Linked DNA regions of Saccharomyces cerevisiae S288C. Changing the gene in region 3 together with the main gene of any one other region gives a genetic interaction. Each region holds a gene or a part of one and is shown on either strand. Other genes may lie near its edges.

Region 1 (8,903 bases), on a different chromosome or scaffold from region 3:
TTATCTCCAACCTTTTTTGGTAGGACAAATACTTTCTATAATAATGAGGTAACATGCTGACAATCTCCCAGTACAACTAGGTCTACAAATTTCAAAGAGTCTAGCACATTCTTAGGCGGCATACTGGTGTTTAAATATAACACAATACCCCTGTTTGCATGGACTTTGGCCGCAAACTGCCTGCAAATATTTTTCACTCCGGGAATCTTCAAACTCGTTCCAACAATAATCAAACAATCAATTCTTTTCTTTAAGTCATTATTGGCAATTTCACCGATAAAATCACCTTCAGGGTGGACCTCATTGTATAAAATTACTCTTGGACGCAACTTGCCCACACCAGTAGATCTTAAGCCTGCCATTTTTCTAACTGTTTCATATTCTTCACATTGTGGACATGACGGTATGATTTCAGTCCGAGAATCAAATTTGTCGTCGCATTTGAACAGTTCAGGGTCAAAAGGTTTGATATTCAGACATTTATTGCATTCCATGTGTTTTATGCTTCCGTGTAATTGTACTGTACTGGGTATTGGCTTCGCCAGAGGCACATTAGTTGATAAATGAGGTAATTGTGTATCTAAACCGTCAATATTCTGCGTGTACAGTCTCAATAGCCTGCCATCCCTAGCAAACTCATTGAGCATTTCATGAAATTTTGTAGGTTGGCAATTCTTGGATAATCTGAACAATGACACCATTAACTGATTAAATTTCAAACTCATTGATTCGTCGCCATACACACGATTGTAGTCAAACAAATCTTTCCCAGAGCCGCCGTTCACAGTAGAGAAAATCCCTTCACTGGATCTAAAATCCGGTATACCAGCGGCAACAGATATACCTGCCCCGCTGACTACAACCATTCTTTTGCTATAATTCAGAGCATAGCTAATAAAACCGGCGTCGCGGTCCATATGATGGCGTTGGGATTTGGACAAGTGTGTCGAATCCACGTACGCATCCAGATCAAACACAGAGTTTAACTCAGGCCTATATGACAGTCTAGGTTTCCTGTTACGGACACTTTTTTTCAATTGCGGTAGCAATCTTCTAGGCTTCAAATTCTCATTGCAACGGTTTTCTGTTTGAGGCTTCTTTTCCGCCGTACTTGGTGGGGTGATCGGTAGTACAAATTTTTGCTTCATTTTGTGGTTCTGCTTAGTATTATTTACAGTTTTAAAATACAGTTGTTGCTCTAAAGTATGTAATTCCTAAGCTTTTCCACAACCTTGCTTGCTAAATATTCTAACATGTCACTAAAGTTGCTGTTTTCCCCTTTTAGGAAACGTAATTGATTTTTTGCTCACGTGCTCTGCGGGTAATGGAGAGGTTTTTTAAAATTTTTCAATTTTGTTCAAGGAAGAATATGGCAAAACAAAAGATACATCGTGGTGATGAAGAAGAGATGGATTCATTTAAGAGTACGTATTGAAGGCTGTTAAGTTCTGGGCCTGAATATTTTGAACGTTAAAATAATTGAGTAAATATGGTCGCTATCAGTGAAGTCAAAGAAAATCCTGGCGTAAACAGCAGTAATTCTGGTGCAGTTACGAGAACTGCGGCACATACACATATTAAAGGTTTAGGTCTGGATGAAAGTGGTGTGGCCAAGAGGGTTGAAGGAGGGTTTGTTGGACAAATAGAAGCTCGTGAAGCGTGCGGTGTAATTGTAGATTTAATCAAGGCTAAAAAAATGTCAGGTAGAGCTATCCTATTAGCTGGTGGTCCTTCTACAGGTAAGACAGCATTGGCTCTCGCCATTTCACAAGAGTTAGGCCCAAAAGTTCCATTCTGTCCTCTTGTTGGTAGCGAATTATATTCCGTGGAGGTCAAAAAAACAGAAACCCTAATGGAAAATTTTAGAAGAGCAATTGGGTTAAGAATCAAAGAAACTAAGGAAGTTTATGAGGGTGAAGTGACAGAACTAACCCCTGAAGACGCAGAGAATCCGTTGGGCGGATATGGTAAAACTATCTCACATGTAATTGTCGGGCTCAAGTCTGCCAAGGGTACCAAGACACTAAGATTAGACCCAACGATATATGAAAGTATTCAAAGAGAAAAGGTTAGTATTGGTGATGTCATTTATATAGAGGCCAACACCGGTGCAGTTAAGCGAGTTGGCAGATCTGATGCATACGCTACTGAATTTGATTTGGAAACTGAGGAATACGTACCATTGCCAAAAGGCGAAGTGCATAAGAAAAAGGAAATTGTACAAGATGTTACCTTGCACGATTTGGATGTTGCAAACGCAAGACCACAAGGTGGTCAAGATGTCATATCAATGATGGGCCAGTTGCTCAAACCTAAGAAGACTGAAATAACCGAGAAATTAAGACAAGAGGTGAATAAAGTTGTTGCTAAATATATTGATCAAGGTGTCGCAGAACTTATTCCAGGTGTTTTGTTCATTGATGAAGTTAATATGCTAGACATTGAAATATTCACGTATTTGAACAAAGCGCTTGAATCTAATATCGCCCCCGTTGTTGTATTGGCTTCTAATAGGGGCATGACTACAGTCCGTGGCACTGAGGATGTGATATCACCACATGGTGTGCCACCTGATTTGATCGATAGATTGTTAATTGTTCGTACATTACCATATGACAAGGACGAGATCCGTACCATTATAGAGAGAAGAGCTACCGTTGAAAGATTGCAAGTAGAAAGTAGCGCATTGGACCTTTTAGCCACGATGGGTACAGAAACTTCGTTACGTTACGCTTTACAATTATTGGCACCATGTGGTATCCTAGCACAAACAAGCAATCGTAAGGAAATTGTTGTTAATGACGTTAATGAAGCCAAATTGCTGTTTTTGGATGCCAAAAGGTCAACAAAGATTTTAGAAACTTCCGCAAATTATTTGTAACAGTGAAGAAAGCCTAAAGCACATTTCATAAATAAAAATAAATATTACGCAAATCACTAAACCAAAAACATTGTATCAAAATGGGACCGTTATTTTTGAGCAAAAATTTCTATTTTTCCTTTTACTTACTACACACGCTTATTTCTTGCAGATATATAGATATATATATATATATATATATTAGTGTATCGTCATTGGGGCTAGATGCCAATTATGCATCGTTGTTGCTGCTATTACTTGCGCCAAGGCGAGAAATCTCATTTAAGAATTCAGCTGGTGTGGTAATGGCTGTGCTACCATACATGACTTTTTTGGGATTATGCAACTGGGAATGTGCCCATTCTTGGAGGTTTTGATATTCTAGGTAGTTACCGCCACCAACTACAAACACTAGTGACTTATTATAAGATTGTCTTTTTGGCTTTCTGGTATGGGAACCCCTTGTAATTTTTGGGTCGATGTATAGGTAACTGTCAGTAGTCTCCAAATTTTTTTGAGAGCTGTTTAAAGGGTCCATTATCGCATCAACAACATTTGTTATCGGGATGGTTTTCTTTTCAGGCAGTAACTTCTTAATACCTGATATTAAACTTCCTACACCTCCTTGTAATTTGCCTTCAGTTAAGCCATAGATACCGGATAATGTTAAGTTGCTTGGTTTGAAAGCGGAATCGGATCCATCTTCCAAAGATTTATTTTGTAACGACATATTTGATAATTGCATGAACTCTCTTAGCTTATAAACATATTTTAAAGCATTGATATCGTAATCGTTTTCCTTGAAATAGTTTTCCACATTTTGGACAAAATCCTTTGGTAAGCCTGTCGTTGATGTCAAGTAAAGAACAATAAACGATCTCAGTTTGTCCTCAAGATTGTTTGTCTTACCATCTTTTAGTATATCCAAAAACCTAGATCTTGTTTTGGTGCTTCCAGGGTCTTGTTCAACTTCAAAGAAAGTATCAAGACTTTTACTTTCCAATTGTGACAACAATGCAGCAAAAATATTCATATGTGTATCAATAGTATTTTTCTTAGCTGTTAACTCTGGCAGTTTCTTTACGACTTCCTGAATTTGAACCGTATCATTATTCGAGTTTGGGTCCAAATCTGATATGTTGGTAACACCAGTTTTCCTAGTAATTTCTGCGGCTTCCTCCTTGTACGTATTCAATGCCGCTTCAACGTTCTCTGCAGCTTCTGGGAATGGCAAATGAGAGTTTTCCATCCAAAAAAAATCGTTTGGCTCTATATCATATTTTTTCGTGGCTAATGGTTTTGCGGTGGTATTGTCAGTTCCGTTTTCCTTACTTTCAAGTGGAATAGTAACGGTGTTTCTTGATAATTTGAAAATATCAAAGACCATGCACTGATAAATCCACGAATGTGAAAACATGGAGGCAAAATCTATGTTTCTATCCAAAATAATCAACACTCCTCTTTCCAGAGAATCATTTCCCTGCAAAGTGGAAGTGGAGGAGGAATTGGTATTGATGACGAAATCACGTAATTTTGTACCCAGTTTCTCAGCGATGATCTCAGCAGGCCCACCCTTAGCTGCTCTTATAATGGGGATAGAATTGATCGTTAAGACAGTGTTGAATAAACCGTCCGCGATGTTGGCGCATAAGCCCGTGATTTCCTCTTCTGTGGTTTTCGGGTCATTCAATGTCAAGTATGCGTTTGAAATTTCTAGTGAGAACAGTTCCGGTTCAGTTACAATGAAGTCCAGGTATTGGTCGTAAACTTGTTTGATTTTATCAGATTTACCCGTGATGGAGACTTGTTGAGCCAAATCTTCCAGGAGGTTTCTGGGCAGAGATGAGGTAAAGTTGATGTAAAATTCAGAATACTTGTCGCTTTTCAAGTCATTGACTATAATGTCAATGTTTTCCTTTGTGGGGGAGACGAAATATATGGCAGGGACATCTGGCAAGGGAGATCTGTCTTGTTTAATCAAGGAATGAACGGTGATACCAGCTTTCAGCAGGTCATTGACTCTGAGAACAGAAGATATGGTAGCAGTGCTCTTGATGTCCAGTATCAACACCTTCCAGATGATCTCCTGCTGGTTAAAAATATCGTCTGTGATGGTGGTGATGTTGTCGTTGTTGTTCAAATCCTTATTTAAAAACAGCATTTTTAATATGGCAGAGATTTGCATATCTCTTAAACTAATGTCCTTGCGGGACGCAATTTCCTCCACAGCCATGATGTTGTGATTTTTGGTCAAAGATACTTAGCAACTGGCAATGACTATTATAAGTTATCATGTCAGGTTATTAAAGGCTGAGTTAGAATGGTGCTTCTTTTTTTTGTTTTTTTTTTGTCGTTTCTGCAATTACTGTGGTCAACGCGAAGAGGGAAACGGTGTTCTTTGGCAAAAATTGGTATGATATTTTATATAATAAATGTATATATACAAAATATGATGATGATGATAGTGACTGGAAAAAATATGTTACATAGAATTTTTGTATCTGACTACTATTACTACTAGTATTCGTGTTCTTGTTATTATTATTATTATTATTATTTTTTATTACTGTGGTGTTTCTTTCAAAGTGGATCTACCTGCCCTTAACAATTCATCGCATAATAACAAGTTGCTGGCAATACCTGTAGCACCGGTAATAGCATTTCTTAGTACGCGGTAGGAATCCCAAATACCCTCGATGGTAGGGTCGCAAGAATCACCTATGTTCAAGTCCACACCAACATATCTCGTTTCGTCAGAATCCTGAGCGTCATCCAACTCGTCCTCCACCATTGCGAGCACGTCCAATGGGTCGAATCCTGAGTTCTTCACCAAAGTCTTTGGAATTACCAGCAATGCTTCTGCGAACGCCTCAATACCTGTCTTTGTTTTACCCTTGGCACCCAACTTGTTCATGTTGGCAGATCTTAGGTATCTCGAAAGGGCGATGTAGAACGCACCAGCGCCTGGAATGATGTTTTTGTCCTTGAGAACGTTTGCCACAGCTCTGAGACCATCTCTCACCGCATCCTTTGTTTGAGCGAGGGCATAATGAGTGGAGCCCTTGATTAAGATGGTGCAAGACTTGGGGTCAGTGTTCTCTGTAACGTATGTGAATTTTTCCTCGCCTATGGTTTCTTGGTAGACCAAGCCAGAAAACCCAAGAATCTGAGGCGACAAGTCTTCCACAGAGTTCTGAGCTTCACCGCCAGTGACCAATTGCAATCTTTCCATGTTACGTCTCTTGGCCCTTCTCAAAGCCAAGATGTTGTGTTTGGCAAACACGTCTAAAGACATGGGGTCAATGCCTTTTTGGTTAATGATAACAAAACCCTTGTCTGGATCCATGCCACAAACTTCGTTTTTCAAGTCGATGATCTTCTTCAACTTGGCATCCACAAACTTCCTCTCACTAGCGGCCAACTTGTCCCTTTGGTCCGCAGAACTGTAAAAGAACCCAGAGTTAACTTCAGTCTTCTCGTATTCCAAAGATACGTTCAAAATCAAAACATACGCGTTCTTCACACGGGTGGGCATGTCAGGATGCCTACCACCGTGGTCCAATACCAAACCCTTAATAAAAGTGGTATCTTTAGGAGACAAGTGCTGCATCTGCATGATCTCAACCATGTGTAAATCCAAATTGTCAGCCTGCGCGTCGTACACGCTTAGCACCGCATCCGTTACAATGGGCGTCAAGACCTCCGTCAAGTCAGCGTCCACCTTGGTTAGCAGCGACGACCGGGCCACTTGCAGAAGGAACTCTCTATCATTGGAAAGGTTCGTCTTACTGATCTTGAATTCGTCCAAAAATTTCATGGACTCCTTCCGCGCAATCTCAAACCCATCAGTGATGATCCGCGGATGCACGCCCTCTTGAATGAAACGGTGCGCTTGTCTAAGCAATTCACCCACAAGACACACAACCGTCGTGGTCCCATCGCCCGTGATTTCATCCTGCGCGGCAGCTGCCCTAGCAATCAGTACCGCTGTAGGCGACTGGATCTGCATCTCGGTCAGCAACACTTTACCGTCCTTGGTCAGCTTGATGTTACCAGCACCATCCACAAGCATCTTTAGCGTGCCCTTAGGGCCCAAGTTGGTCTCTAGGACGGATTGTAAGCCCTCAGCAGATGTGACGTTAACCTTCAAAGCCGCATCCCTTCTCAACGATTCAGCCTTCGGATTCAACAATTGCAATGACATGCTTCTACTCTACTTATATTATAATCTTCTGCTTCTCACTGCTTCCACACCCTTAACCTTTACCTTTTCCACACACTGCACACATACACTGTTATACATAATCCTTTCCGTCTTTCGTTCGTTTCTTACCAGAATAACAACTACTAACACATCACCGAGCGAAAATTTTGCCACCAAAGCAAAACTCCCGTAAACAGTGATCCACGGCCCGTATCCATTCTGCCGCAGAACCCACACCTCTCACTCTATCGAAAAACAGCCTACTCCCAGGGTCCCCAAAATGAAAGCTCACTGCAATGGGAAACGATAATCACAACAAGGGAATGCAATTAAAGAAAGATATACGGTACACGAAAGGGAGAAGCGACGGCGTTAACCTATTTGCAAACGACCGAGTCAGACAGCTCAGGTCCAGTCACGTTAAAGTGGGTTACTTTGAGCTGAGGTGTGCGGTTGCGGGGCGTGGGTGTGCGCGCCGTTGCCATGCTTACCGTTCTCGTTGCGCTCGTTGCTCGTATTGCCTCGTCTGTTCTTGTCTCGTAGCTTTTTTATTATTTGGGTTAATCGCGTTGTTGAACAAGAAAGTATGATAGTTGTTGAACCGGCCCCTCGTCCCGTTCTATCTTTCTACGGGTGTCGTGTCTATTATTTTATTGTTTTCCTACTAAGGTTCTTTGCTATTGTTCTTTTAATTTTTGGTTTGTAGCTGACTACACGTTTCAAACCCAATCTTGGCAGCCCGGATCTTCATCACTCAGCTTTTCCCTACTTTTTTTTTTTTTCGTTTCCTTTTTCTTCTTTTCTTTTTCTATTTAAGAGAGAAGTTGGCGAACTTGAAGTACACATACACGCTCTCCCTCGCATCCCGGAGCTCGCAATCAACCACTATTACTAATCACATCCTAAATTTTGGGAAGCCTACACTACGATGGACACTGTCGGTACGGACGCAGCAGCCGCGAGCATTAATGAGCGTCGCTTTGCCCAGTCCACTTCACCAAAAGTTAGTGTGAAGTCACAGGACTCGCTGTTTCTGATCACTTACTCCAACATGCAGCAGACAGTGGTACAAGCGTCTTTGGCGGACCGGTACCCTTCGCTAAAGAAGCTTAACATCCTACTTTACATAGATATCCCTACGATCGACTACTACAACGATGAGATGACTCATAACAAGCTTTCCAGACTGAATAAACGGTTTAAGCTGCATCGGCTTAGAAATTCGATCGCGCAAAGTTTTTCCAACACATCTACTGCGGAAGATAACGATAAGTTTTGGGAGGAGTTGAAAAGTCTGATCAGCTCTCGCAGCACACCGGAAAACAAGTTTGATCTGAATGTACTGGTGTCGTCTTCGGGGTCTTTACGTTACGTGGAGACCATAAGATTTTTGGTTGAAAAATTGTTTAATTCTTTCAAAGACTTGTATGTTCAAAAGAAACTAAACCTATGTTTCCAGATCAACGTTTCTCCCACCTCTCTCAAGTGGTTTTCTACTTTCCTGAACGCAGAACTGCTTAATTTAAAAATCATTAATTGGCAGAATATTGGTTCTTTCACTAAGACAATCCAGAACTCCAAGTCACTCCCGTTCAAAGAGTACTACACCAAGTTGAACGAGAAATTCACCGGCTCAAACCAGAGCAATGGTAGCATGCAAGACCAGACTGTCTTGGATTCCATAGTTATTGTCACGAATAGCACGGGGGTAAAAGCACTGCTGACTTTGTTGTCAGACCACCCTCTCACCAGCCTTATCTCCCAGGAATCAATAAAAGCGCTACATGAATATTCAGATGCTGTTAACGAAGATAAGGGCGACGACCAGAGCAACACAAG
Region 2 (8,228 bases), on a different chromosome or scaffold from region 3:
GAAATAGAAGTGGAGCCTGTGGCCCCAACAATGGCCAGTACACGGGCCAAGGAGGAAACCGAAATGGCGACAAGATATGATGCAACTAAAATGCTGCACGTTATAACAATAAAGCTCTTGCCTCTCAATGGAGTCTCCTTAGGCTGATAAATAGATTCTTCTTCAATTACCTCATTGAGGTCAAGGCTACTGTCGCGAATCAACGGAGAACTTTCGGTAGCAACAGTGGGTTCATCCGCCGATGTAGCACTTATACTTACATTTTCCTCGGCGAAGTGTTGCAAAATCTGATGGATTGAAGCTCTTGCAGGATGACACTGTAGTGGGAACGCCAGCATCACCAACAACACAATCGCTATTCTGCCGATGGTGCTCGAGACCGCTTGCGGGTACAGCATGATAATGTTTCCAATGATGTTGTCGCCGAATGTCAGGTATCCAGCACAGCCGATCGCAATATATAAGATGAGAGCCAAAGATATTGCTATCAGTGGAATCTTCATCACATGCTCGAACCGGCTTGACCTCTGCTCATTGATTATTGAAAACATATTGTGGTGACATGTGTAGGCAAAGACAAAAATTGGAAGAGTGTTTAGCACGTTCAAATCATGCGATTGTGGTGGCAGGAGGTAGGAGATCCGGCCTTTCAAGCGAAGAATCTCATCTGATGGTGCTACATAGTGCAACAACACCAAAACACACAAGTACGCTACAGAAGAGATGGCCACCATGGAAGCGTACCTCAACGAATTCAACTTCTTCAGAAAAGACAGCGGGGCCACGAAAAAAAGCATGATCAGTGAAATTTGCACGTTCCTGTTCAACAGCCAAGCATTTCTGGTCCACACAGACATTATTTGGGGCATCAGATCCCCAACTACAATCATATAAGAGACGCCCACACCAAAACACTTGATAGCGATCGCTAGGTCAAACACAATACCTAGATTTGGGTTAATCAACCGCGTCAGAGCACTGAACGAGGCCCTCCCCTGTGGTACGTATTTAGCTACACGAGCTTGTATGAACAAGCTTTGCATAGCGCACGCCCCACACAGCACTATCATTATCACTCCAGGAATTAATCCAAACGGCTTGAATGCGTACGGCATGGCCAGGATACCAGCACCGCACGCCGTGTGTAAAAGTGTCAGCACACCTGATCTAATACTAGCTACCATATGATGCACGATTCCTTTCTATGGTTATTGAGCTGTGAAACTAACCCGTCGTTCGACCATTGTTGTTCTATATACTTCTAGTTGCTGTATAGATAAGCTCTCCGATCCCCTAAACGTGCGTGGTGATCTTACTCTTTCGCCCTCGCTTTTTTTTTTTCGCTTGTTGTTTTCGCAAGGTGAATAGAATGGTTTTAGTAGCAAAGTGCATTGTTTATTGTGTGGTGTGGTTTGACGCACATTCTGTGTTAATAGTGTAGCAGAAGGGTATTCTACAATCTCCGCGAACCTAAGTATGTCTGCTGTTGAAATTTCCCCTGACGTGTTGGTGTATAAGTCTCCATTAACGGAGCAATCGACAGAATACGCTAGTATTTCCAACAATTCAGACCAAACCATTGCATTTAAGGTCAAGACCACAGCCCCAAAGTTTTACTGCGTGAGACCAAACGCCGCAGTTGTTGCTCCAGGTGAAACAATCCAGGTTCAAGTTATCTTCCTGGGTTTGACTGAAGAGCCTGCCGCAGACTTTAAGTGCCGTGACAAGTTCCTGGTTATCACGTTGCCTTCTCCTTACGACCTCAATGGCAAGGCTGTTGCAGATGTTTGGTCCGACTTGGAGGCTGAGTTCAAGCAACAGGCTATCTCTAAAAAGATAAAAGTCAAATATTTGATAAGTCCAGATGTACACCCAGCACAGAACCAAAATATACAGGAAAACAAGGAAACTGTTGAACCAGTAGTCCAAGACAGTGAGCCAAAGGAAGTGCCTGCTGTGGTAAACGAAAAGGAGGTCCCTGCTGAACCGGAAACTCAACCTCCCGTCCAAGTAAAGAAAGAAGAGGTCCCACCTGTCGTTCAGAAAACCGTTCCTCATGAAAATGAGAAGCAAACGTCCAACAGCACTCCGGCCCCACAGAACCAGATAAAGGAAGCCGCAACCGTACCTGCAGAAAATGAATCATCCAGCATGGGTATATTCATATTGGTTGCACTCCTTATCTTGGTTTTAGGATGGTTCTACAGATAATAGGGAGATTGAGGATATAGCTGTATTCTAAATATATATTTATATATGTGTGTGTTTTGCCCTTTCCTTCCTTTCAGTCTTTATTTTACTTTGTTTTTCTACAATCTTTTTTTATTGTTTCCTTCTGTAGCCTTTACAATACTAGAACAAGGAACTAAAAGATCATACTTTCCTAACTTTTTTATATGTTTTATTTTTTAAATAGGAGAATAATCGATAACTATACCACTGTTGTAACATATTACTTGTTTAATTTATTCATGTTCGGTTTCCCTAGTGTAGTAGGCGCTATCTTGGGCAAATAACTATCCGTTATTAACCATAACAATGCGGGGTCTACTAAATGAGGGGAGGGTCTTGGATGCACATTAACGAAGATCTTGCGAGGGGGTCGCGCCTAAAAGGTCCATAAATAAATGAATACATAAACAGCCACCTACTTTCAGTTTGTTTTTTGCTAGGTCTCATAGTGAACGAGGGACTCACATATTGACAATATAGTAACATGGGCTTATCGCGCTGGCACGACAAGAATTCAAGGCCAGCAGAGGAAAAGAGCGAAGAAATGCAACAGGATGCGCACTACTACGCCCTTGCGGCAAGTGATAGTTTAAATGCAAGTGTTTCTAACGAATATGGTAATCAAGTAATGAACTCGTTTTGGAAAGTGGGTATAGACTCTCCCTATGTGGACGATGAAGCAATTAGAAACAGAGATGTCGAAAATAACTTACCTTCTTTAAAGCAAAGTGTTTATAATGCTAATGAACCAAATGCTACCTCGTCTGCATTTTCAACCGCTTCATACGCACATGAAACTTTCGATTTTAGAAACCTTAAACTAAGATAAGGGGGGATGAAGAATAAGAATAAACGCACGTACAATGCATATACAACCGTTTCTATGTACCATAAATATAATTATCATATAATGAAAAATGAGAATAAAAAACAATGATAACAATGAAAAAAAAAAAATTCAATTAAAGAGAAAATTAAACTTATTTTCTTAAGTAGTCCCTTAAATAACTACCGAGTTTTTCAGCACCCTGTTCTACAACGTCTCTCAACATCTGCAATTCATCATCTGCGGAGGCATTAAAATCGATGAAACCGTTATTAGAATTACGGCCATCAAAATTCCCTGCTCCACTTCCACTACTATTGATGGGATTACCAAATTCATCCACTTCTTTATCTTCTCCAAAGTATGAAGAAGAGGAAATTGATGTAGCATTGTCAAATGTTTTCAACTTGTCATGCGCTTCCCTGTTTGCTGCTTCATCAAATGAGCCACGACCAAATAATTGATCAGATGATATAGCTTTTTGTGTGCCGTACCTTTCCGCGATTCTGCCCGTATATCTTGGTCCCTGAGCTATTTTCTGAGATTCTTTTTGTTGCTTTGCCAAATCATTGGCGTCATTCATGGTCATACCAAATCCCAATTTGGCAAACTTGGGTGTTAAAGTATCTTGCTGTTCTTTTCTAGTTGTGTCGAAGCTGTTTGAAGTGTCATTTAAAAAATCATTGAATTCATCAGGCTGGGTATTAATATCATCTATACTGTTATTATTGTTGCCTTTACTGTTATTCATAAATTGGGAATCGTAATCATTTTGTCTAATTTTGGTGCTAGAAGACGAATTAGTGAACTCGTCCTCCTTTTCTTGTTGAGCCTCTTTTTTAAATTGATCAAACAAGTCTTCTGCCTGTGATTTGTCGACTTTCTTTGCGGTTAGTCTAGTGGGCTTTCTTGACGAAGACAAAATTGAATGTTTCTTTTTATCTTGCGAGTTTAATACCGGTTTCTTTCTGCTAGCCGTTAAGATGGAACTTCTCGTTTTAGTGACAGTGGTCTTGGGTGTGCTGCCTGTGGTGTTGTTTTTTGGGGCGAGAGAGCCTGTATTTACATTGAGTTTAGAACTGGAATTGGAGCTTGGTTTTTGCCAATTAGAGAAAAAATCGTCAACACTATTTTCTTTGGAAGTCGACCTGGAAGCGTCTGAATCGGTGTCCAACGGTGAGTCCGAAGAATCTTGACCGTTCAAGACTAATTCTGATGGGTATAACTCCATATCCTTTTGAACCTTCTTGTCGAGATGTATCTTATATTTCTTAGCAACAGGGCTCGTATATTTTGTTTTCGCGTCAACATTTGCTGTATTTAGTAGCTGTTTCCCATTGTTCTTTAAGAAAAAATCACGAGCCTTATGGTTCCCACCCAACTTAAACCTTCTTAAATTGTTAATTGTCCATTTATCTAATGTAGAAGACTTTACAAAGGTGATATGAACACCCATGTTTCTATGCACAGCAGAGCATTGAATACACAGCATCACACCAAAAGGTACCGAAGTCCAAGTAGGATTCTTGTTACCACAATCAAAACAAACTCGATTTTCCATGTTGCTACCTAGCTTCTGAAAAACTTGTTGAGTAGTCTGTTCCGTGGCAAATGTTTCTCCTTCATCGTTACTCATTGTCGCTATGTGTATACTAAATTGCTCAAGAAGACCGGATCAACAAGTACTTAACAAATACCCTTTCTTTGCTATCGCCTTGATCTCCTTTTATAAAATGCCAGCTAAATCGTGTTTACGAAGAATAGTTGTTTTCTTTTTTTTTTTTTTTTTTCGAAACTTTACCGTGTCGTCGAAAATGACCAAACGATGTTACTTTTCCTTTTGTGTCATAGATAATACCAATATTGAAAGTAAAATTTTAAACATTCTATAGGTGAATTGAAAAGGGCAGCTTAGAGAGTAACAGGGGAACAGCATTCGTAACATCTAGGTACTGGTATTATTTGCTGTTTTTTAAAAAAGAAGGAAATCCGTTTTGCAAGAATTGTCTGCTATTTAAGGGTATACGTGCTACGGTCCACTAATCAAAAGTGGTATCTCATTCTGAAGAAAAAGTGTAAAAGGACGATAAGGAAAGATGTCCCAACGATCTTCACAACACATTGTAGGTATTCATTATGCTGTAGGACCTAAGATTGGCGAAGGGTCTTTCGGAGTAATATTTGAGGGAGAGAACATTCTTCATTCTTGTCAAGCGCAGACCGGTAGCAAGAGGGACTCTAGTATAATAATGGCGAACGAGCCAGTCGCAATTAAATTCGAACCGCGACATTCGGACGCACCCCAGTTGCGTGACGAATTTAGAGCCTATAGGATATTGAATGGCTGCGTTGGAATTCCCCATGCTTATTATTTTGGTCAAGAAGGTATGCACAACATCTTGATTATCGATTTACTAGGGCCATCATTGGAAGATCTCTTTGAGTGGTGTGGTAGAAAATTTTCAGTGAAAACAACCTGTATGGTTGCCAAGCAAATGATTGATAGAGTTAGAGCAATTCATGATCACGACTTAATCTATCGCGATATTAAACCCGATAACTTTTTAATTTCTCAATATCAAAGAATTTCACCTGAAGGAAAAGTCATTAAATCATGTGCCTCCTCTTCTAATAATGATCCCAATTTAATATACATGGTTGACTTTGGTATGGCAAAACAATATAGAGATCCAAGAACGAAACAACATATACCATACCGTGAACGAAAATCATTGAGCGGTACCGCCAGATATATGTCTATTAATACTCATTTTGGAAGAGAACAGTCACGTAGGGATGATTTAGAATCGCTAGGTCACGTTTTTTTTTATTTCTTGAGGGGATCCTTGCCATGGCAAGGTTTGAAAGCACCAAACAACAAACTGAAGTATGAAAAGATTGGTATGACTAAACAGAAATTGAATCCTGATGATCTTTTATTGAATAATGCTATTCCTTATCAGTTTGCCACATATTTAAAATATGCACGTTCCTTGAAGTTCGACGAAGATCCGGATTATGACTATTTAATCTCGTTAATGGATGACGCTTTGAGATTAAACGACTTAAAGGATGATGGACACTATGACTGGATGGATTTGAATGGTGGTAAAGGCTGGAATATCAAGATTAATAGAAGAGCTAACTTGCATGGTTACGGAAATCCAAATCCAAGAGTCAATGGCAATACTGCAAGAAACAATGTGAATACGAATTCAAAGACACGAAATACAACGCCAGTTGCGACACCTAAGCAACAAGCTCAAAACAGTTATAACAAGGACAATTCGAAATCCAGAATTTCTTCGAACCCGCAGAGCTTTACTAAACAACAACACGTCTTGAAAAAAATCGAACCCAATAGTAAATATATTCCTGAAACACATTCAAATCTTCAACGGCCAATTAAAAGTCAAAGTCAAACGTACGACTCCATCAGTCATACACAAAATTCACCATTTGTACCATATTCAAGTTCTAAAGCTAACCCTAAAAGAAGTAATAATGAGCACAACTTACCAAACCACTACACAAACCTTGCAAATAAGAATATCAATTATCAAAGTCAACGAAATTACGAACAAGAAAATGATGCTTATTCTGATGACGAGAATGATACATTTTGTTCTAAAATATACAAATATTGTTGTTGCTGTTTTTGTTGCTGTTGATAAAGCGATTTTTATACTTTTCTCTTTTTCCTTTTTTTTTTTGATTGGCTGTTTCCTTATGCCGCTCTTTCCCAATTTATGACTTTCCAATAATGTATTATTTTGTTTCTCTTTCTCTCTGTTACCCTTTATTTTATCATCTACAATAATTGAATTCCGGAGAGGGTAAAGAAACAGGAAAAAGAAGAAAATGAGACATAGTCAGCATCGTAATCGTTTTCCTTCTGTATATTCCTTTATCAAAAGACTACACGCACATATATATTAATCCCGGTATGTTTTTGGTGTGCTAAATCTATCTTCAAGCACTATTATAGCATTTTTTTAAGAATATCCAAAATAATATGTAATTTATGATTAATCAAGGTTCAAGAATTGGAGAAACCGTGAGCGACTTCTTTGATACTTGGATGTAAGCTTTTATTTAGTTGCTTTTTCGTTTTCTTTTATTTACGCCCTTGTTTTGCGTGTATACTTTACTTTTCTAATTCACTTGAGAGCGGGACTATATATAAAAAAATGCACAATTACAAACTTGAGAATGAATGCATATCGTGAAGATTTTGATATTAAATTAAGAAGCCAAAAAAACGTAGGCAACCATAACAAATTTCGGCATTGAACTTGATTCTAAATGCTACATACAATTACGCGCGCTGTTTTGATATACACACACATATATATATATATACATTGTGTAAGAAAAATTCAAAGCTTAGTAAAACATACAGATCATGGAGAAAAAAAAAAAACCGAATACTTGTGTTACCAGAAGGATCCACTGACTGGACTTGGGTCACAATTTGAATTTTATTGATTTTCACCTTCATCAAGGAGGATGGTCGTTAGTAATAAAGGGCATTCTGAGTGACAGACAAAGAAATTATCTTCAAAGAAATGTTACTTTGATTCATTGATATGTTATTTGTTTTTATTTGAAAGCACTCAAGGAAACTAGACAACAGTAGTATCAATAGTAGATCCACTTAAATGCACATCATTTACAGAATACATCCTCTTTGTGAAGACGATATCCTCTTGGTCATCATTCAATCTACCTTCGCTAACAGTATTTGCTGAAGAACAATCCCAATTACCAGAATTTGAGAACATATCATCAGATGTTTCTGTCATACTATGGTCACTCTCATTGGATAATGATAACATAGAAGAATCAGATATTCCACTCTTCCCAGTACCATTACCATCGATTATTTTACCGGTATCGACATTGAATTGAACTTGACAAATTTGATGTAATCCCAGTTCACAAAAATTGTCAAGAGTTACTAAACTTCCATCGTTTGCCATATCAAGGAATAAAAATCCACATCCTTTTCCATTGGCCTTAGTGTCATTGCTCTTCAAGCAAATATTTTTATCACTCATACCACTCACAATAATGTTTCCACATTGGAAGACTTGCTTGGTTAATAGTAGTTCACTTTCACTATCTAGGCTAATTGAGTTAAATCCATGGACTAACTCACCATATTTCA
Region 3 (6,391 bases):
TCCTTTTGGTGATTAATGACCTCCCCATGTACTGTTACCACCATAGTTTGACTTATTTCCTTGGTTGTTCCAAGCAGACCTATTTCCATCGTCTTGGTTACCCCATGCAGAAGCTCCGCCATCTCTTGTACTTTTATTATTGTTATTTCCTCCCCAGGTGGAAGCCCCGCCGTAGGCTGACCTATCACCGGTACCACCCCAAGTAGACATGGCACCATTAGATTCACCACCCGACGCCCAAGTGGATGCACCGCCCCAACTTGATTTGTTACCCCAGGCTGAAGCACCACCCCAAGTAGAAGTAGCACCAGTACCTTGGCCGCCCCAAGCTGAGGCACCGCCGCCAGCACCGCCCCAAGCGGATGCACCTCCATTACCTTGGCCACCCCAAGTGGAAGCACCACCCCATGAGGAGACACCGCCACCACCTGAGCCTCCATGCGCATTTACAGCTGGTGTTTTGCCACCATCGAAGGAGCTCCATCCTGGTGTCATACCACCGCTAAGACCAGAAGAGGTAGCCGCAGCACCTGCTGCAATACCGCCAGTGGCCATGTTTCTTGGGGCACTGACGTAACTTGGGCCCATTCTGGCCTGTGGAACTCTACCACGTCTATTAACCAATTCATCATACGTGATACCTTCACCTCCCTCACGGTTGTAATATGTTAACTTATGCTTGTCAATTGTAATGTGTTTGTTCTTCGAGTGTAATTCGACAGTAGCTTTATCACCATTCACATCTTTCACAATACCTAATTGACCCTTGTAACCAGCAGAACGAATTCTTACTGTTTTGCCGAGTGCAACTTCACGACCTCCTCTGGACTGGATGGGTTGTTGGAATGTCTTAGATGATGGAGGTCCCATTTTAGAAATGATTTCTGGATTCATTTTACTTAGATCCATTTTGTTACTTAACATATTGTCCTTGGATGCCACGGCCTCAACGTTACTAGGGTTAACAACAAAAACCCCTGCATTTTCAACAATCTTCTTTGAAACAACAAAAATTTGTTGTGTTTGTATGTACAGGACCTGACCTTCTCTGCGTGAACCTACTTTCTCTACTATGGTATCACCAATTTTGATTTCATTACCATTTGCATCGACACTAGAAACGCGTGCACGAGCAGTATTTATTTTACTCAAGATAGACCCCTTCGTAATTGTCGACACTTTACCAGTTTCATCAATAACCTTGAAGATATCGTGGCCAGCTTGAATAATACAAGCAACATTTTTAGCACTCAATTCGACTATGTCATGTAGCGCATATTCACTTGATGTAGCTGTAGTGTCGATGGATTTGGACAGATTATTTGCTGTAATGGTAACTTCTCTGCTTGTTTGAGTTGACATAAATGTCACTTGACCTTGCTCTACCATAAGAACTAAACCAGCATCACCTTGATGTTCACCATTGATGACAGTAACGTGATCACCAGGTTCGAAAATTTTCCTCAGAGTAGAGATAGGAAATTCTAGAGGCGTTGTAAAGCCATTTAGTTTGATAGTAGCAATATCTTTCGTGGTTCTTGTTACAATACCCTTGGAACCACGTTGTTCACCATTTAGAACTTCGATACGATCACCTGGCTGGAAAGTGACCTTTGCAGCTTGAGCCTTCTTGATTGATTGTGAAACTGATGTTAGATCTACCGCGCCCTCTTTGGAACCGAATCTTGCCAATTCCTCCACAGTTGGCTGAATATTTTTGGTTTCCACATGTTGAATTCTGAAGGACTTATACAGATAACCATCGATATAATCTTCATTCTTATAAGTAAAGTGGCGATCATCCCTTTTGTACAGGTTAGCTTGGTCTAATCTTAGAGCCATTGTTGGATTAAATAATTGCGGTGGTGCTCTATGAGCAAAAGTTGGTCTTCTGGATTTACGTTGCTGTGTTGTTGGATCAATTTCGTCGAATTTACCATAATCCAGACGAGGAACAATTTTCAGCATAACTTCTAAATTATTCTCACTAATTTGGTCGACCATAGCTAAGTCACCCTTATAGATCCCTCTCTTAATACGAACGTAGCTACCTTCTTCCAAAGCAACATCATCAGATTTGTTTGGTTTTAGTAATAGAGGTAATTCTTGGACAGGAATTAGCAATTTTTGAGAAATATAAATATCTGGAACACCATTACAAAATTTTTCAATAACGGATTGCTTAGGGGCTTCGATATAGATTCTTCCTGTGTAATTATCCCTTTGGAAAATGGATAAAATTTTCAGTTTTTTCTTACCCATCGCCCTATCCAAATTGAATTTTTTTTTTAATAACTTACGAATCAATTCCTTTTCTTTACCTGGTCTGCAGCGCACACCCCAAATGGTAGCTGTATCAACACTTGGTAGGAGAAACCTCTGGGGCACGTAACCATCTTGAGCAGCAGCACGGTATTGCTTGGAGCTGCTTCTACCGTAACGCTCCCTTAATTCTTTCGCTAACCTTTGAGCGTCTTCTTCTGAAGTCTTGTTCAAATCTTGGTCCAGTTGTCTATGTAATCTATCGTCTCTTCTTGCGCCTGGAGCACTTGCTTCGTCATCTTCATCATCACCATGGGTAATGAAACCTTCACGAACCAACTCTGAATCCTCTTCATCTTCATCTTCATCTTCATCATCACTAACCTCAGCTTCAATATCCAAGAATCTGTTCCTCTCCTGACGACGCCTTTTAGTTGGGGCTTCATCGTCATCGTCCTCATCATCATCATCGTCATCGTCGTCTTCATCATCGTCTTCATCTTTGTTATCGCCCTCATCTTTGGTATCACCATCACTGTTTTTGGTGTCCTCTTCGCGAGGTCTCTTCCTTTCATCAGAGCCCTCTTCCTTCTTGACAATTTCATTTGCTTCGGATGAATCCGTATTCAAAGTTGCTTGGGCATCATCTGTAGCAGGCCCGTTACTAGATGAAACCTGCTCTGTGGCCGCCGTTTCTGCATTATCCTCAGGTTGCTGTGGCTCAGATTTTGCTTCTTTTTCTTCCCCATCTAAAGGGGGAATATTGCTTGTACTTTCTGCACGTTCTGTACTTTCCGTTGTGGTCACATTGCCACTATCAACAGTATCTTTGTCACTAGTATTTTCATCTTTAGTGTCAGTTGACTGCGGAACCACTACGGGATCAGCAAATTGTTGATCATGGTCCTGCATGCTCACGTTTGTGTCCGAGTTGTCACTCATAATTATCACAACACCCGTTCCTCTTTCCTTCTGCTGTTACCTACTTGTATGAATGGTTCTTGTCAATGCTACCAATCTTTGAACATGTTCATCCAAATTTTTTTCTATGTCGCATATCAGGCGGGTCACCTTTAGAAGGAACAAGTATGAAATATACTATCATATATATATATAATAACAATTACGCATGCAGGTGTCAGCATTAAGAAGCCGCAAGGTCACCTAAATACCTTCCGAGTTTTTTTTCAATGAGCAAATCCACTAACGTTAGTTATGAAAGAGTAGAGCTATTCGAGAACCCGAAAGTACCTATCGAAGTTGAAGATGAAATTCTGGAAAAATATGCGGAATCCAGTCTGGACCATGATATGACCGTTAATGAACTACCAAGGTTCTTCAAGGATTTGCAACTAGAGCCCACAATTTGGAAACTGGTGAGAAATGAAGACGTCATTATAGAAGGAACTGACGTAATAGATTTCACGAAACTGGTACGATGCACATGCCAGTTACTGATACTGATGAATAATTTAACAGTAATAGATGATTTATGGTCGATGCTTATTAGAAACTGTGGCAGAGACGTGGATTTCCCGCAAGTGGCCTTAAGAGATCATGTATTAAGCGTAAAAGACCTTCAAAAAATCTCCAATCTCATCGGGGCTGACCAAAGTTCTGGGACCATTGAAATGATTAGTTGTGCTACTGATGGCAAGAGGCTTTTCATGACATACTTGGACTTTGGTTGCGTATTGGGAAAACTAGGTTACTTAAAGATGTGAAGCGAACAAATCCATATTCAAATATTTTTTCTCCTTTATTCGGTTCTGGAATCTATTCATATATATGTAGAAAATAGTCGAGTACATATGCAATTATAGGGTAAGCTGATACACAAATGCATGGTGTGGTCCTCTTCCTTTGCTTAAATGATATGTTTCGTTTTGAAGTAGTTCTTCAAATAGTTGACTTGCCAAACACCCAGCGAGGACAAGACAATAATAACCAAAATTGAGAAATTTCTTACCCTTCTGTTGGTAGATTCATTGGTGTCTCTTAATCTCTCCTCTCTGTTTTTCAAGTAAGTCAATTCGTCGACAATTTCGTCGGTAATTTCCTCCACTCTACGCAACTCCACTTCTATAGGTTTCAATTTTTCGTTGGCACTGATCTTGTTCCAGTCACGAGCTTCAGCACCACTCTCAATGTCCAATTCAATGGCCCTGCTTAAAGAACGGCCACGATACTGAGCCTGATTTTCAAAACAAACGTCGAATGCCGTGGAGGATGGAGCAGTAAACGCAACACGAACGTCGCCTGCAAAGTCCCTCTTTCTACGATACTCGTTTCCAACTGAATCACGCACGAAGAGGTTTAGTTTCTGTCCATCACCAACAGAACCATCTGAGTGAATATCCGCGACAACCAATTGACCTTCAGTGACAAAATCACGAATACAAACCTGTTCTGGATCTGTAGATGCTGCAATGTCGAAATGTAATCCCTGCACTGCCACCACCAAAGAGATCAAAGTTGTCAACCATAACTGTAACACCTGCATCCTTTTTTTGCTTTTCACTTATGAGATCAACTGAGTTATACAACTAACTATAAAGGTAGGCCCCAGCTCCTAAAACAAACATATAACACGTAACAACCAACGGTTGGCCAAAATCATTAGGGAGACGAAAGAGTAAAAACGAAAAATGAAAAAAAAGTAAACTCCAGAAACTCTTTGTACGCGTTTGTCGTTTTTAACGATATGCTATTTTATCATTGTTCTTCATTTTCCTCATCTTCTTCATCTTCTTCATCCAGTGCTTCCACTAGAAGACTGCCATTTGGCCATAGCTGGGGCACTTGGTCCACCGACATGTGCTCGTTAGGATGCACAGTATACTTAGGGAAGGGCGATACCAATTCAAAGTCGAATTCAAGTTTACCACGTTCGAGATCAAATGAGGTAAGCTCGTTGTTGATGATGTGGCCGAGCTCTTCGATAGTGGTAGCAGTAGCAGTTTCGAGTTGTCCTTCTTTAAAGCAGAGCATATCGTCGTCTGCAGATAATTGCCTGATTTTGTCCTGGAGGGCGTTAGACCATTCTGCGGGGTCACTAGAATATACCGCGAGGTATATGTGACACCCAATGGATTGGTAGATTTGGTAAAGTGTAGTCATGGAGGGGAACTTCTTGACGAATCTTTTGCCACTAGAAGTCCTAAATTGCAGAGTAGCTTGCTTCCCCGTTGTCTCGAACGGCTGTATCTCATCGATGCAAGCCTTTAACCATTTTAATTGCCGAGCAGTTGAGTTTAATTTCAAATCCTGAGCGTGTTTCAAGCTCTTTTCCTTTTCTATAGCTTTGATTCTGTCCATTTCTAGCGACTTTTTGTACGCATCCTCCTGCAGTTTTTTTATTTCTCTTGACATGCGTAGCTCGTGCATTTCAGTTTTATTAACAACTAATTCTGGAGTGTACTTTTCCACCACGTTTGTTAACGACTGCAAGAATCTGTTCAGTGAATTGACCTTTAGCTTGCCGAGAATGGAGAGTCTTTGTGAGGGCAAAGTTTCTGAATGGGAAGCCTTATTAGCCACGTTGGCAATGAGGAATATCTCCGGGGTGTTTCTGACACCTAGTTGGCGAGCAACCAGCCAAGGTTCCAACTCGTGTACGCATTTCAAATAGATAATCAGGTCGTTATCAATCTTGCGCAAGTACTGTAAAGTCTTCTTGTTTAACAAAATCTTTTCCAATAGTAGTTTAGAATTAACATCTACGGTATCAGTATCGGTATCGTAGGTGTCGCCCACTAGGATGAGCAACATAAACTTAAACTCTTCTTTTGCAATACGCAAGGCCTCATTGAAGGAAATGTCTGGTTTAAAGCTTTTTAGTTCGCAAAATGCATCCTTGTCCTTCGTGTCACCCAGTATTTCTGCAAGTGGGATATGGGTTTCTCTGGTTGGTGCCTTTGGAACCTTGGAGATCTTGGGTTTTCCTGAATTACCGCCACCACTTATCGAATGCAGGGACAATAGAGTGCAAAAGAACGTGAATATTGTGGCAGATAACCTATTGATTATCCGAGGGATCAACAGTAAAATAAAAAGAAAGGGGTTACCATCATAACTAAAAGATTCAAACATGGACCACACAGTGTTAGAGCGTCCATTTAGCCCAATT
Region 4 (7,835 bases), on a different chromosome or scaffold from region 3:
CGCTAAAGAACTCTATCAAATATTTTTCTTCCACACGAATTCTATCACTGAAAAATTTCCAAAGTACAAAAATGAAAATAACCAATGATAGGGGATTTAGAAGCAGTAGCTGAGTGCCAATTGCCCACCAAAAGAACCCAAGATAACTTGGATGTCTTGACCAGGAGTAAACGCCAGTTTTCACTAAAACATGATCGGACTCCTTCTTGGTCTTCACAATATGAGAAAAGGAATGTCCCGCAGTATGCATAGCAATAGTTCTGGTATATTGTCCCAGAATAACTAGAAGACATCCAAGTACTGTACAAAGCTTGGTAGCTAGAGAGTAGCTAAAAATTTTCAGATCAGGAAAAAGAAAGCTTTCTACGAGGCATTCCAGAATAGCAAAGGAATGTGCCGCCATGTAACTTTTGCCGTTGTTCAGAAGAAAGGACTCTGAATGTACCTTAAGAGGATTGTATTTAGCTGTAATATAATACTCCAAAAAATGGAATAAGGACAGGGCAATAATAAAGAGGTTAAAATTCTTGAATCTAATTTGTGGAAAAAGACCAACAAATATACCTAAAAGAATCCCCAGTATGTAGGAAGTCATGGTCACCTCATGCAGCGGATTGCGTCTGATGTCTGGATACTCATGCTCGTCTTCTTGAAAATCTTGGTGCATGTTGTGTTCAAAAACGGTGACCACAATGAAAGAGGAGGTAAAAAGAGTAATTATCTTGAAATCGATTTTCACTTTCTTATATAATTCATCAACACGAGAACCTTTCTATATACTGGTGGTATCATGTAAAGAATTGTTTTACCATAGTGGCCCATTTGTCAATTCGTCTTGAGTGATGTTTCATTATCAATCGGTTGCTATGCCAACGAAAATACTATGTCAGACTCTCTTGATGTATATAATGAATGGCAAAGTACATAGAAATAGATAAAAGTTGTTATTGTGAGTCGGAGGGGCTGTTTGTTTGTCCTACTCGTTGGCCGCGGCCTTGAAATTGGTTCAAATTCGATGGGCCACTTCTTAATTGACTTCCAGAAGCTCTGCCTGAATCTGTGCCACTGGTTTGAGACAATGTTGCAGGGGCCGTACCCAATCGTTGACCTCTTCCACTAAAAGTTCTCGTTTCTCTTTGCGAAGATGGCACATTGGCAAAGTTGTTGTTGAATGTTGCAGTTTCATTGTGGGCACCCGTTATGCGAGCATATAGACTAGTAAACCACCATGGCGTTGAGAATTTCCCATTGGGCGAGATTCCGTAGGTTGGATCAGCTTTTCTGGATATCATCCCCCATATTGGCCCCAGTGTATGGGTATCTAAGCATGTATAAAGGTACCCTGTAGTAAAACCGATCAATGAGATTACGAAATCACCCTCATTAAAAACGAAAGAGATAAACAATTGAATTAAGGGGAAGTACTTCCCCCAAACAGGAATCAAACCATAAAACATGATCTGCACGTTGGCATTGTCGATCGACCAAGTATATGTAATGCATGATATGAACCCAGAGGTGAGCACAACAGGGTAGTAGGACCCATAAATGATTGTAGTGGCCGTAGTGATGGCTAGTATACAAAAGCACAGGTAGTAGGCATAGTCTACTGTTACCATCGGTCCTCGTCTATTGGACAAACCGGGACCAAAATGCCCTCGCTCCAACTGTGAGGACCTGTCATAAATACTATATAGTTCCATTAGCGCAGGCATGGCACGAGACGAAAGCATTACACAAGAAGTAAGAAGTCTCCATATCTGAACCTTCTTGAACGTCAAATTCCAAACATAAATAAAGTACCACGGATTGATTAGATTCAACCGGCCGACGATCGTCATAACGATCGCTAGAGTAAATAAAGTTCTTGTTATTGGGGGGATATTTAACCAGAATTCTTTTGGGCCCATCACATCATTATTACGGCCTCCATTTCCATGTAATGTACGCACATTCCTTGGGCCTGCCATTATTTCCTCGAAAATAGTTTTTGATTTGACTTGGAAATGCGGAATTCACTGGTAATTTGTTGTATTTTGCCTTATATCCTTTGTTTGATACTCTTGTCTTATATTGAAGAGGACACGATTTCATGAGCCGCGAACGGGTAAGTAGGGACTTTTCACATTTGAAATTTTTCAAATGTGATGAGGATCGATTCTGCAAAGCAGCAGATAATAGCAGATAAAAAATAGAGAGTTGCAATATTCAAGTTCCTGGTAGCTGCTCGAATCAAGAGGGGTGAATTAAAGGTTTTCGATTTTTGCTATGGCTGTTCACACCAATAGGCAAATCCTTACAAGAGGCAAAAACTATGCTACAAAGCAATCAAAGAAATTCGGTACCGATGAGGTGACGTTCGACAAGGATTCTCGTTTGGATTATCTGACTGGCTTTCACAAGAGAAAGCTTCAAAGACAAAAGAAAGCACAAGAGTTTATTAAGGAGCAGGAAAGGCTTAGAAAAATTGAAGAAAGACAGAAGATTCGGCAGGAACGTAAGGAGGTGATGGAAGAACAGTTAAAGACGTTTAAAGAGAGTTTAAACTTGGAAGCTGAGATAGAGGATGCGAAAAATGATAAGACGGAGGATTTGCAGGTAGAATCTGATGAATCCTGGCACGGGTTTGATTCTGATAAAGATGACGGCGATAACGACAATAATGAAAGTAGCGTAAAGCCTATTTTGAAGAAAGGAGCAATCACGGAAATATACGATGACTCAACTACTGTTGAATTGGAGACATTGGAACCCAATGATAACTTTGAATATTTAGCCCAGCTAAATAATGTCAAATTAGAAAAGGCAGAAAAAGTACTCAAACAAAGCATAAATAGAGCCACCAAATACGCGAAGTTTCTGGGCGTGGATGAGAAACAAAAGAAGAAGCCAAGAGTAAAAAAGTTCAGATATTTGACCAAAAATGAACGAAGAATAAACCAAAGAAAGGCAAACGACAACAAGCGTAGGAGATAATGCAGTCGCATTATCGTCGGGCACCGCCTGGGGTTTCTTGACGCTCAAACAGTGTTTGATTTTTTTTTGGAAAAGTATATACTGTGCATATGTATTTTTCGTTTATTATATGTAATATATCGAATAAACCATTCTACGGGGAAAATAGAACAAATATTTACAGCATTTGCATGATTTTATATGGCTTGCCCAACAAATTATTTGCTTGCAAACTTAATATAATACTCTGCGTCCAATTTGAAAACGACCCATATGCCTCTTCTAATTACTTCGAAATACTGCATTTCGCCTTGGAAAAAAATGTAGTCGCTATCTGCGGCAACTAATTTCAGATTCTGCGATAAATATACCCATAGCCACCAGAACCTCAGCAAAAAGTCAACGAGAATCGCCGAATGATACATTTTTTTCTTTAATGTGACGGCACTTTTGGATCTGGATCTTAAAGAGGTTAACGAGTCCAATGACCAATCCATCCTTACATCCCAAAATAACGTATAGGAAGAATTAATTAGCATAAACCATCTTTGAACGTGGTGTAGTCTTTCTTCGTTGATGGATCCCTCATACACTCTTGATCTCCAGGTGCAAAAAAGAATGGGAAGATTACAACTGTATTTCAATGCATTGAATAGTAAAGTTGCTTCGTGCAGTAAACGGTATTCTCTCAAACACTGCAGTAGTCTTACCAGTACAGGAAGAAGGGCTACGGATAGATCAAAATGTGTGAAGGGTTCTCTAAAAATTAGAGAGGTAAACAATGTGAAGTCTATCAATGGTTTTGCAAACGATGTCAACGTGTCAGAGATTAAAATGTAGGTATTCCTTAAGGAACGGGGGGAGGATTCTATCAACAAACATCTCCTAGTACAATATTTTATTATCTGGCACTCTTTCAACAGAAACCAAAATATAGTGACACATTGGATCAATGGTAGAAAATATACGATGAGAATGATATTTTTGAGTGGACCTTCTATAATATTCATGAACTCAAAAAGGAACACAGTGGCAAAGTGGAACGGTATAATAATCCTTGTTATCTTCAAAGCAAAATTTCTAGCTGTTCTATGCAATTGCTGTAGAGTATAACCTGGACGTATATCGTGCGGTACTCTCGTGAGTATGACTTGGGATACGTCTAAATTACTATGCAAGAAGAATTTTAATATCCATGTCCAGATCCAAAGGGCAAGTATTATGAGCACAATAAATCGCTGCGGAGGGGGAACATTTAATATATTTTGGAGATAAAGTCCTTCAGAATTACTTTCGCTTTTCTCCATATTTTGCGGCCCAACTTGTTGCAGAATTGAAAACTTTGTATAATACTAATAATAATTTATAATAATAACAATAATAATTTATAACAATAATAACAATGCCAAACAATTTATATGGGTAACCAGTTTTTGGTACTGTTTGCCATCAATATTGCGACTAAATCGGGAGCGGTTAGCGCTGGCTTGCACTTTTTGCAACTGACTCTATTTCTTTCATTGATTATGTTATTTTCAGATGACGAAATACGCCAAAAAAATTCGGGAAATAAATACTAGCGTGATATCGGTTTAGGTATATTACAAAAGAACACCAAGGTAAGGCATCATTAGTTATGTATGCATATTACTGACTTTTACCAAGCGGACCATGACCCGAGTTCAATGATTACCCCTAATACAATTTTTGTGTGTTCCGCCATATGAGCGAGACTTAATCTGTCCAAAGTATCCATGGTGCTGTGAATATACTTGTTAGTCTTTTTGAACTCACTTTCAATCACGAAGGAGCCTGGAAATCCGTTTCTGGTGGCACTCCCATGATCGCTACAAGCATAGCCACATTGTGTATCCCTGTAAGGAATGGATAGATAAGAGTTGATAATTAGTTTTATAAAATCAGTTAATGCGGGAGTAGTGTAGTCGGTGACAATCCCCACATGTTCATCTTCTGGATCAGAAACATATCCCGTCATGTCTTGCTGAAGCATCGCTCTCACATGCTTTTTCTGTTTGGCATAAGCTGTAAAAACATCAAGAGAACCCAACAATCCCCCCTCTTCGGCGGAATAAAAGTGAAATTCCACAGTGTTGTTAGGTCTAAATCCTCTCTTCAAAAAATTTTCCGTATATAATCTGAGAGCCTCCATATTAGTCACCGTGCCTGACCCATTGTCGTCCGCACCTGGAGCTGCCATTATGGATGGCAGTAGCAGATTGATAGAATCTTGATGAGAACCAATTATTATAATATCTTCTGGCGTAGTAGATCCCGTGACACGGACTATAATTGAATATTGCTTCCATTCTTTGTGATCAAAATGTTCAATAGTCAACGTATCTTGCGGAATATCTTTTGTAATATTAGCGATAGTTGCAGCTAACCACTCGGCAGATTCAAAGCCGTGATCGGACTTGTAGTAACGGGTGTAAAAACTTGTAAACTTTGCCAAGTTCTTGTGCATAGAGCCCTTGTCTATATTCTTAATCGAATCATCCACTACTTCTTTGTTCGATATCTCAGGAGGATAGTTATACGTTGGTACTGTTGGCTCTTCCTCCTTGTTAAAGAAAGGTAAGAAAGAAGTGTGTTTGGTCACATCAAAGAATTTGACACCTCTTCTTCGTAAGTTTAGCTTTTCTGATTCGGGAACCTCCATTACCTCATTCTCTCCTACTTGTAAAACCCTTAAAGGCTCATATGGATATGACCATGCGATGATGGCAACATTAAATAAAACAAAAAGCGACTGTATCCTCATATTGTGCTAATCAGCGGTTGATTATGTTACTTACTTTTTCGAATAAAGATTTTGTATTTCTTTAGCTTCGAAGATTGATAATTATTGAATATCAAGTTTCAGTTTACTATAGCGGTCCGAACATATGAAAGATTTTAGTAAAGACGCTGGCAAGCTTTTCAGTCAAAATAATACAAAAGGAAATAGATAGAAAAAAAGGAAATAATCAGGCCTCCATATTGGACTCAACTATCCTTCAGTACCGCAAAACTTATTGTGTCCATATATCCTATGTCAGCATACATCGCAATGAAAGGAGTAATAACAAACGTCGATGAGAACATAAGAAATGATGAAGATGTGGCTTTTGAGTACGAAATACAAAAGACACCGCAGAACATACTTACATGGAAAAGATATATCGAGTATTGGAAAGAGGAGGGAAGAACTGACAAACAGATTAGGTGGCTATATGAAAGATTTTGTTCACAATTTGTAACAGATACAAGTATATGGGAAGATTATATACGCTGGGAATCAACAAAGGAAGTAGTCGAAACTTCACGTATTTTCTGGCTTTTTCAAAGGTGCCTGAAAAGCTGTGTACGAGATTGTGACAGGATATGTTTGTCTTATTTAGAATTGGCAATTGAACAATATGACTTGGCAATGATAAGGCATGCCTTAGCTTCATCTTTAATGAAAATGGAGAGAGAAATGCATCGGAAAGTTTGGGATCCTGTCATAAAATTTGTGGAAGAAAAAGTTTTACCATTAACGCAACTGGATTCAACTCAAGAAGATGAAGAAGAAAGTACTGATGAAGCTGAATTGATAAATGTACTTTTAGTGAAGGGTTTCACGAAGGGAGGTTTTATTAGCGAGGAAATTAGTGAAAACGGAAGTAGAGGTGATATTTGGTCGTCACATATTTTAGAAAGATACTTAAAAGTGGCTCCTCAGCAAAAACGAAATGAATCGCTGGCAACTCTTGCATTAACTAGAGACAATATTACCATCAAATCAGTATATGAAAAGTATTTGCCACAAGATGAAAATAGTGGGAAGTATCTACCTAGTTCAGAACTGCCTTTTGAATTAAATTTCAATTATTTGGCCAGCCTAGAAAAACTAGGTTTAGATAATCAATATGAGGAGTTCATGAGGCAAATGAATGGCATATATCCCGACAAATGGCTTTTTTTGATCCTATCACTTGCCAAATATTATATCTCTCGCGGGAGGCTTGACAGTTGTGGTGATTTATTGAAGAAAAGTTTACAGCAAACACTTAGGTACAGTGATTTTGATCGCATCTATAATTTCTATTTGCTATTTGAGCAAGAGTGCTCCCAATTTATTCTGGGAAAGCTAAAGGAAAATGACAGCAAATTCTTTAATCAAAAAGATTGGACTGAAAAGTTACAAGCTCATATGGCGACATTTGAATCTTTAATCAACTTATATGATATCTATTTGAACGATGTCGCACTAAGGCAAGATTCCAACTTGGTGGAAACGTGGATGAAAAGAGTGTCCTTGCAGAAGTCAGCAGCGGAAAAGTGTAATGTGTATTCAGAAGCTATACTGAAAATTGATCCCCGAAAAGTTGGTACGCCTGGCTCTTTCGGTAGGCTTTGGTGTTCGTATGGGGATTTGTATTGGAGATCAAACGCAATTAGTACAGCTAGAGAATTGTGGACACAATCTCTGAAGGTACCGTATCCTTATATAGAAGATCTGGAAGAAATTTACCTAAACTGGGCTGATAGAGAATTAGATAAAGAAGGGGTGGAAAGAGCTTTTTCTATCCTTGAAGATGCATTACATGTGCCAACAAATCCAGAAATTCTCCTCGAAAAATATAAGAATGGACACAGAAAAATACCTGCTCAAACTGTTCTATTCAACTCATTACGTATTTGGTCCAAATACATTGATTATCTAGAGGCTTACTGCCCAAAGGATGCAAATTCCTCCGATAAAATATTCAATAAGACAAAAATGGCATACAATACTGTTATTGATTTGAGATTGATCACTCCAGCAATGGCAGAAAATTTTGCATTGTTCTTACAAAATCATTACGAAGTCATGGAAAGTTTTCAGGTGTATGAGA

The links.
Region 1: mutations in ERV25 (region 3) and SLY1 together harm fitness more than expected from each alone (negative genetic interaction), as found in Saccharomyces cerevisiae (3 studies listed by BioGRID).
Region 2: mutations in ERV25 (region 3) and GLO3 together harm fitness more than expected from each alone (negative genetic interaction), as found in Saccharomyces cerevisiae (3 studies listed by BioGRID, with this or other methods).
Region 4: mutations in ERV25 (region 3) and ERD1 together harm fitness more than expected from each alone (negative genetic interaction), as found in Saccharomyces cerevisiae (4 studies listed by BioGRID).

What each region holds. Positions count from the first base shown.
Region 1 is NC_001136.10:834,582-843,484, reverse strand, and holds SLY1 (syntaxin-binding protein), read right to left. Parts: upstream 5,094-8,903; coding exon 3,093-5,093; downstream 1-3,092. Other genes in the region: NAD-dependent histone deacetylase HST4, read right to left, coding at 36-1,148; RVB1 (RuvB family ATP-dependent DNA helicase pontin), read left to right, coding at 1,490-2,881; chaperonin-containing T-complex subunit CCT6, read right to left, coding at 5,424-7,064; SND1 (Snd1p), read left to right, coding at 7,993-8,903. UniProt on the Saccharomyces cerevisiae protein: Able to suppress the functional loss of YPT1. SLY1 is essential for cell viability. May interact indirectly, or directly with YPT1.
Region 2 is NC_001137.3:399,659-407,886, forward strand, and holds GLO3 (ADP-ribosylation factor GTPase-activating protein), read right to left. Parts: upstream 4,695-8,228; coding exon 3,213-4,694; downstream 1-3,212. Other genes in the region: AVT6 (aspartate/glutamate transporter), read right to left, coding at 1-1,184; phosphatidylinositol-binding protein SCS2, read left to right, coding at 1,477-2,211; YER121W (uncharacterized protein), read left to right, coding at 2,717-3,061; casein kinase YCK3, read left to right, coding at 5,155-6,729; DSE1 (Dse1p), read right to left, coding at 7,684-8,228. UniProt on the Saccharomyces cerevisiae protein: GTPase-activating protein for the ADP ribosylation factor (ARF) family. Involved in retrograde vesicular transport from the Golgi to the endoplasmic reticulum.
Region 3 is NC_001145.3:244,490-250,880, reverse strand, and holds ERV25 (Erv25p), read right to left. Parts: upstream 4,766-6,391; coding exon 4,130-4,765; downstream 1-4,129. Other genes in the region: transcription elongation factor SPT5, read right to left, coding at 13-3,204; RAD33 (Rad33p), read left to right, coding at 3,453-3,986; UBX2 (Ubx2p), read right to left, coding at 4,978-6,391.
Region 4 is NC_001136.10:1,292,425-1,300,259, forward strand, and holds ERD1 (Erd1p), read right to left. Parts: upstream 4,263-7,835; coding exon 3,174-4,262; downstream 1-3,173. Other genes in the region: STE14 (protein-S-isoprenylcysteine carboxyl O-methyltransferase), read right to left, coding at 1-667; DFM1 (Dfm1p), read right to left, coding at 945-1,970; rRNA-processing protein RRP17, read left to right, coding at 2,269-2,976; YDR415C (putative aminopeptidase), read right to left, coding at 4,613-5,737; mRNA splicing protein SYF1, read left to right, coding at 6,008-7,835. UniProt on the Saccharomyces cerevisiae protein: Required for the retention of luminal endoplasmic reticulum proteins, affects glycoprotein processing in the Golgi apparatus.